Linked DNA regions of Arabidopsis thaliana. The protein of the gene in region 2 interacts with the protein of the main gene of each other region in a pairwise test. Each region holds a gene or a part of one and is shown on either strand. Other genes may lie near its edges.

Evidence for each region.
Region 1: the proteins of MGT3 (region 2) and HHP2 interact in a protein complementation assay, tested with the Arabidopsis thaliana proteins (one large-scale study listed by BioGRID).

Annotation. Positions count from the first base shown.
Region 1 is NC_003075.7:15,020,376-15,024,130, forward strand, and holds the start of HHP2 (heptahelical transmembrane protein2), read right to left. Parts: upstream 2,071-3,755; 5' UTR 1,904-2,070; coding exon 1,677-1,903; intron 1,603-1,676; coding exon 1,504-1,602; intron 1,407-1,503; coding exon 1,328-1,406; intron 837-1,327; coding exon 165-836; 3' UTR 64-164; exon of another isoform or gene 1-63.
Region 2 is NC_003071.7:1,101,555-1,105,309, forward strand, and holds the start of MGT3 (magnesium transporter 3), read right to left. Parts: upstream 1,651-3,755; 5' UTR 1,413-1,650; intron 1,258-1,412; exon of another isoform or gene 1,160-1,257; intron 1,096-1,159; exon of another isoform or gene 739-1,095; 5' UTR 615-738; coding exon 173-614; intron 86-172; coding exon 15-85; intron 1-14. Other genes in the region: AT2G03630 (suppressor SRP40-like protein), read left to right, coding at 1,651-2,405, 2,499-2,676; AT2G03640 (Nuclear transport factor 2 (NTF2) family protein with RNA binding (RRM-RBD-RNP motifs) domain-containing protein), read right to left, coding at 2,971-3,330, 3,415-3,480, 3,581-3,702. UniProt on the Arabidopsis thaliana protein: Magnesium transporter that may mediate the influx of magnesium.

The DNA.
Region 1 (3,755 bases), on a different chromosome or scaffold from region 2:
TAGATTAGATCTTTGTATCATGAAGCTTGAACAATACTTGTAGGAAATTGAGTTTTTGTTTACTTTTGAATATCTTGGATGGTACATTGCGTCTTCTATGGGGACAAACATACATTGATACATTGAATGAAGTATTACTAAATGTTTTACAATGTGTTTTCGAGTTAAAAGGCACAAGAAGGAGAAGCCCGTCGAAAATCCATGATAAGAAGACTGGCAACACTATGAGCAAGAGCTCCTAAGACTACAAACACATGGAATATCTGATGGCTATGTCCTGCAATATCAAAAGCCCCAGGCTTCCATCTTTCAGGTATGCGGGTAACATAAAACGCTGCTCCTGTTGCATACAACACAGCCATCGCAAGTTCATATACGAGAGCTATAAGCACGTTTGGGTGATCCTTATGAAGGTAAAGCACATGTGTGGCTGGTATTACGCCAGAAAATCCCATTGTTAGGAACAGAGCTGCTCTGAAAGATCTGAAACGTGGAGCTGAGAGTGATGGAGAGAGGAGAGTGAAGATGGCGAGGAGACCGAGGATTGAGATCGATGAGAGGTAGAAGAGTCGCCAGTAAGTGTGGCATGAGAATGCATAGTAGATAGGTGCGAAGAATGAACAGACGATCATGAGGGAGATTCCAGCGTAGTCTAGACGCCAGAAGAAGAGGTTGAACCGTCTGGAGTGACAGGCGAAGAGGTGTGACATGGAACTGCAGATCAAGCAGCCCATTGCTCCGGTCAAGAACACAAGCCATGGCCATTTCGGAATGGCTTCGTAGTTAACATCTCCTTGAGAATTCAGGAGCGAGCGAGTGTGTGTCACGTTTAAGTCCTGCCAGTAGACACCACCAAATCATAAGTTTATGTTGACAAAAAAACAGCCTTTCTTTTCTTAAACCCGTTGAAAAAATCATGTTAGTTGGAAAGTTAGGTGAGCACAAAGAAAATCTACAGAAAACTAAAGTGAGAGAAACATCAAATAGTTGGGGCAGGTTACAAGATTTATGCTAAACTAAACAAATCCAATCATAAAGTTTGTTCCTTAATTTCGGTAGGAAATCACGTGATTTCAAAGTAGGTGAGCATAAAGAGCAAGTCTAGAGAAACTGAAGTATCCATAAAAACCAAAGTTAAAAACAGAAAGATAGAAAAAATCCAAAGAGAACATGACATGGTGGGTGAAAGTTACCATTTAGCACTACTGCTAATTGCAATCAGCACACAACAAAAATGGGATTTGTTATTTGAAAGCACTTATGTTGCATGTCTACTACTTAAATTAGAATAAACAATGTCACAGAATAAAAAAGGAAGAATCTTTACGTGATGCAGAGTTTGATCGCTGGAGAAGTAAACATCTTTTGACATTGCCATTGACGGCCATGGCCAGCGAATTGTTGCTCTGTCATTAGGACCCACAAATCCCCCAAAAAGATTGAAATTTGTTTAATTTTCCTCAAAACAAAAAATGACGATTTTGACCTCGAGATTTTTCTTACCCGGAGAGAAGGCTAACAAAGCCGGCGAGGCCAAGCTCCGTCGTCTCCATTGAACTCACAACCATCATCCAAGTAAATATCGCAAATCCACACAAATGCCTGCCAAATTTCAAAACCCCGTTTACAAATTTTCAACCAAGGGAAAAAAAAATCAGAAGAAAACGAAAACATACGTCCAGATGTTGAGAGTCTCATTGTGCCATGAGAAAGCGCTGAGGAAAGTTTCTTTGATTGACCACTCACATCGATAATGATTGTGTATGAACTCGTTATCTTTCAAATACCTAGGTAACTCCTCGAACTTCATCAATCTCTTCTCAGATCTCTTCTTTTCGCCGGAATCCATACCTTTACCATTTCTTATCTTCGTAGATTCCTTCACCGTTCTCCGTTTCTGCATGATTCCCCTCCCTCTCTCGCACAGCTCGTCGGGGGGAAAAGGAGGAGAAATCTAGCTACGAAATTGAACTCCGGCGAATCACCCACCACCGTAGATTTCTCTCTTCTTCTTTTTATTTTCAGTATTTGAGAATCTGATTTGTTTTTTTTCGATCTTCGTGGTATGCTTCGTCGCCTACTTATACGGAGATGAAACCTCTTTGAATTTTAAAAACGAGCAAGCTTCGTGACTTTTATCTACGTAGCGTCTTTGACCGGTCTTTTTTACACGTGTCTCTTCCTTATTAGTATGTTAGTTTCGCCTTAGTGTGAGGGAGGATACACCTGATTATTTTTACCCGCCGTGTCAATTTGAAACAAATATTAAAGTTACAGTTGGAAGGTGAGAAATGCAGAATTTGTGGGTCTCTGTTTAAACCTATAGTCTATAATTATTAAATCGAGAACTTTGTTTTTACCCCTCAAGATTTTTTTGTTGCCTGACCCTTAATAACATTGTTGAGTAACTAAAACATATATTTTCGTTTCATTTATACGTTTCCTAAATGATTTGATAATATGGGGAGTGTTGATCAAAACAGATTAAACGAACGAGGTAAATTGAAAGAGTAGGTAACTTTTTATTGGCTTTATGGCATAAGATTCTCCAAGGAGGGTTGATTCATAAGACAAGACAACACGTACATACATATCTATATTTAATTGGTATGAACATGGATTATGTTATTGATTTATTTAAAACGCGTCAAACAATTGGATATAATAATTAAAAACTGAATGAATGGTTCGCTTACCAAAGCAAAATATAGTTGGCCCAGAATTCGATGTTGGCATGTTACGACTACATTGCTACATTGTTATCATCAATGTTTCAGATTATTTTTAATTTGTACTTTCATAGTAATTCACCGCAATGAACGATGAGGAACCATCGAATCGGACTAAACGAGGGTAACAAATTTTGAGTAGTAAAGTGTAGTAACAACAAATGAGTGAACAAAAATCGAATGGAACCGTACGAATATAGTAATAATTTTTGTTGTTCGCCTGCTGAATCTCAAATGATAACCTTTAGGATCTTTTTAGCAAATGATAATCAGTTTGTAATCTAGATTTATTTGGAGTTCTTCATTTTAAAATCAAGATAACGTGGATCCGGTTTGATCCGGTCTAATTCAAATTTCATAATATAAATACAAGAATATTTCAACATTAGCCTAAAAATACATTAAAGAAAAGAGTGTAGTATTTTCAAAAGATTTGTTGTATATCATACAAAATGAATGTATATTGTTTTGTGTATAATTATATACAAAGTTGTCGTGAAGTGAACATATATTCTAGTTTGCTTAGTTGGTCCGTTTTTCATCTAAATCGATTCTTAGACGCCATAATTTCTTGCTAAGAGGATTAAGTATAAACTATGTGTACATGGATGAGTAAATTCTTTGGATTATTTAACGATTACTCATTATCTTTGTAAAGTGTATAAAGAAAGGTGAGTATTGCGTGGTGAACTGTGGAAACCTAGACTCAAAGATCAATACTTTATTAGATTTTGTTGCTAAATATGGTCTAACAAAGCAATTTACGCTAGGTATTTTGTTTGAGTATAGTAATCAAATGAAAACTGAATTATCGAAATTTAGACAATAGACACTAACGAAATGAAAAAAAAAAACGAAATTAAGATGTTATACAAACTGATTAATCCATTTATCTTTCACTAGATGAAATCATAGATCATTTTTCGTGAGTCTGTAAAGATGTATGATAAAAAAAAGAGAGTAATTAATTAAAACATACCTAGAAAGCATATAATTTGATTTAAGTTGTGACATAACGAACCTAAA
Region 2 (3,755 bases):
AGAATGTGGCATACCTGTGCATCTAAAGACAAGCAAGATAGTTCCAAAACCAGCTCCAACGCTTTAAATTCAAATGGCAAATCATCTAAAACCAAACACATATAACAGTTTCATCAGCAATCTAATCTATATCATAACTCCAGACCACCAAAGCTATACCAAAACCACTGACCTTTAACATTTAGGTTGTGGTTTGATTGAAGGCGTTTACACAGTTCCGACTGGTACTGAACAACAGATGCATCTCGAGCATTCATGAGAATGACCTCTTCAGCTGTGATAATACACCTGATCTTCTCAAGACTGACAACTATCGCTCTCTCACGCCCCAAAATACTCGAGGGATAGATAAACAAAGGGTCAAGGAGTCTCAAATCCCTGGATGGTAAGGAACAACGCTTCATTATAGTCGCCTTGTCGAGCTCCAAAACCGCAGAGTTCCCATCTTGATCAATTTTCACCCAAGAACGACTAGATTGACCTCTCTTCTTAAGACCAGAAAAAGGATGCCCACGGTTAGTTTGTCCTTCGAAATTAACCGGTCTACCAATTTTTTGAGAAGATATGAAATCCGGAAGATTAGAAGCGGAAAATGGATCTAGTTGTTCTCCCATGTTTGCTCAATCCTCTCTTCCTTACAATTTACTAATGCATCAGAATCAAACTCTCACCATTCAAATGAACAGTTTCCAGTGAAACAGAAGGAGTCCAAGTAAACCTTTGGCCACAGTTTACAACCTGAAAACAACAAAATTTGACATGAAACTCAAATTCAATTTCTTCATATGATCTCTCTTGAAGAACCAACGAACCTGAGAAATTCACAGAACAAAAGACAATACTTTTCTAAATGGTGGAAGCTGCATCAAATTATCAAGAATAACTTCGTGTTTAAGTTCTTAAGACACTAAAACGAAGAAAAGTCACAAAATTTGCAGTTAAAGAAGATCCAATTCTCAGATTCAGTATCTTAATTCTAAGAATTCGATCCGTTAAAACTATCCAATACAAATCACACCGATCAATTAGGTCTACAGTATCCATATCCAATTCCAAATACATACCCGAAAAAAGCAAAGAATCCTAAAAAGGAAGAAACTTTCAAAGACCATGTTACAGTAAAGGGAAATACAAACCCTAGATTCCATAAAAACGTTACCTTTCGTTTACAAGCTTTCACTTTCCCCAAACAGTAAACAGAAGAGGAAGAAGATGAACAATGATGCTTTTTTTTTTGTTCTAGTATCTGAAGCCACGTGTTAAAAGTCAAGGCGTTTATCTATTGGATAGAACACGGTTTCTTAAATAGACCGTAACACAGAGGATCATTTATAAAACAGAACAGATAAGAAGACATGGCGCGAAATGCAGCCATGGTTTTGTTAGTTAAAGTTCCGAACTTTACGAGATACCTTTCGTTCTGTTTATCTCCAGACAACGAACCAAACCCTAGATCCCCTTTTCCTCATCTTAATTTTTTTCTTTCTTCCTTCATTCTCTCTAGCAAGAAAAAGAAACGAAATTTCACAACTTCACTCATCAGGCTCTGGTCAAATCGATTTCAAGGTATGTTTTTTGATGTTATATTTGTTCGAATAGCCCGAGAAATTGCTTAAAATGATGCATTGATGATTGCTTCTCCAGGTGTTTATGGAGTCTAAACATGAAGAACATGTGTTATCCAAACAAAAACATGATCAAGATGTAAACAAAAAAGGTTCATTAGACGACGAAAATGGAGATGTTGAGCATAAAACGATACCTTTACAAGAAACAGAAACTGTAATTATTAACTCAGAATCACATTCAAGATTATCGTCGTCTTCGTCATCTTCGTCTTCTTCTTCTTCGTATTTATCGCCACCGAAAGATCTACCTGAAGAGGTACTAAAAGAATCATTGAATGATCCGGAGATTTCTTCACCACCTGTTCAAGTAATGGATAGAGATAACAACGGAAAATATGACCCGAATAGGATTCCATCTTCGGTTTTCGAGAGAAGCAAATCGAATGTGCCAGCTGAATGGAGCTGCACTTCGAATGAATCTCTCTTCAGTATTCATTTAGGAAACAATAGTTTCACTGGTTATGGTGGTGATTTGATGAAATCAGGTGAACTTTATAAATCCGGTGAGTTACTTGCGTATAGTCCTGGACTTCCTATGCCGCCTGTACCAGGATCGGAACCAAAACCCGTAGTCGAAGAACCGAAAGTTGTTGAATCAGATAAGGAAGAGAAAGTTGTACTAGTAGAAGAAACACATACATCATCATCAGATGAAGAAGAAGGGAAAAGAGAAAGCCATGAGAAAGAACAACATCCTGCTGTTTCTTGGAAAACTCCTACAACTTCTTACCGTTCTAACCGAAGCTCAAACAGCGCGCACTCCTTCTCTTTCCCAATGTAAATACACTCCATCCATGACCATGGCTGACAAACATTTCCTCCCCTCGGTTTTAATGAAAGTTTCTTGCTTTGCTTTTTTGGTTTTTACAGTTTGGCTGGAGCTGCAAGTGATTCAAGAAAGGTAGAAACGGAGAAACAGAAGGAACAAGCAAATCAGTCACAAGAGTCACAAAAACCAGTAGCAGATGCAACAAATCAGAAGCAGTCAATGTGTAGGTGCTTCTCATGTTTTCCTCAATGTCCGTGGTGTTGTTCTTCTTGTTCTTGATTCTGTTTTGATGTTTGATTAGACAAAAACAAAAGTTGTGGAGTTTATCTCCTGTAAAGAAAGTATGTAGGTCATTAGAACCTTAAATCAATTCGATTTTGTTCTCTGCTTTGTTCATGAGAAGATACAGAGATCAAAGAGTGAAGAAAAATGTTCTAGATTTATCCCCAAACAATATCACAAATCGAAAAGATCAACACCTAAGATATCCACGGAAACAAAAATTTGTTTTAACATCGCCTACAACCTCAGATTCTCAACCATGAGCAAAGCTTAGAAGAAGAAAAAACTAATCTAGTTTTTGGCCTCAGTATTGCCATGGCCATTGTTCTGGTATGCTTTACCATCCCCATTAGACTCACTGTTCCGTCTCCCATAGCCTCGTCCTCCATTGACGCCACTGCCCCTAGGTTTGTATCCATCACGTCTGAAACCATCCTCATTTTTATAACCACTGTTGTTTCTTGTAGAGACTCTGTTGCCATTTTGATTGTTACCTCCTGCATAATCCAGAAAAAGTAAGATTAGGATTTTGTTTTTACATTTAATTAAAGTTACAATCTTTGAGACAACAATGCCTTTCAGAAACTTGCCTCGCTTTTCTTCTATAGATGCTCTTCGGTTTCCGATTCTGATTGGTGATTCCCTGTGAGCCTAGAGTTGTGCATTTGGAGATCAGATAACAAGAACTTCAAATTACATTATAGCCGAGAGTTTGATATGCAAACAAAAACATACCTGAAAGACATTTTTTACTGCTTCACCATTTTCGAATGCCACAAACCCAATACAGTTCTTTTTTTCCTGAAAATTCACAGATTTTTAAGCGTGTGATTGAACCAGTTATAAGGTTTTTCAAACTTTGCAAATAATTTTTTTGTAGATCATTGAAAGAATAACTAACCGGGTAACTTCTGACTTGGATACCATCCTTTCTAATAGCTCCAAAACTTTTAAATGTTTCATAAAGTTGCTCAATAGTCGCATCCATAGGCAAGTTTGCAACAAATATGGAACTACCCTGAGCTGATACGTGAAAAACAAATAATCAAATGAGACAAAAGCAAGTAGAAGAATTT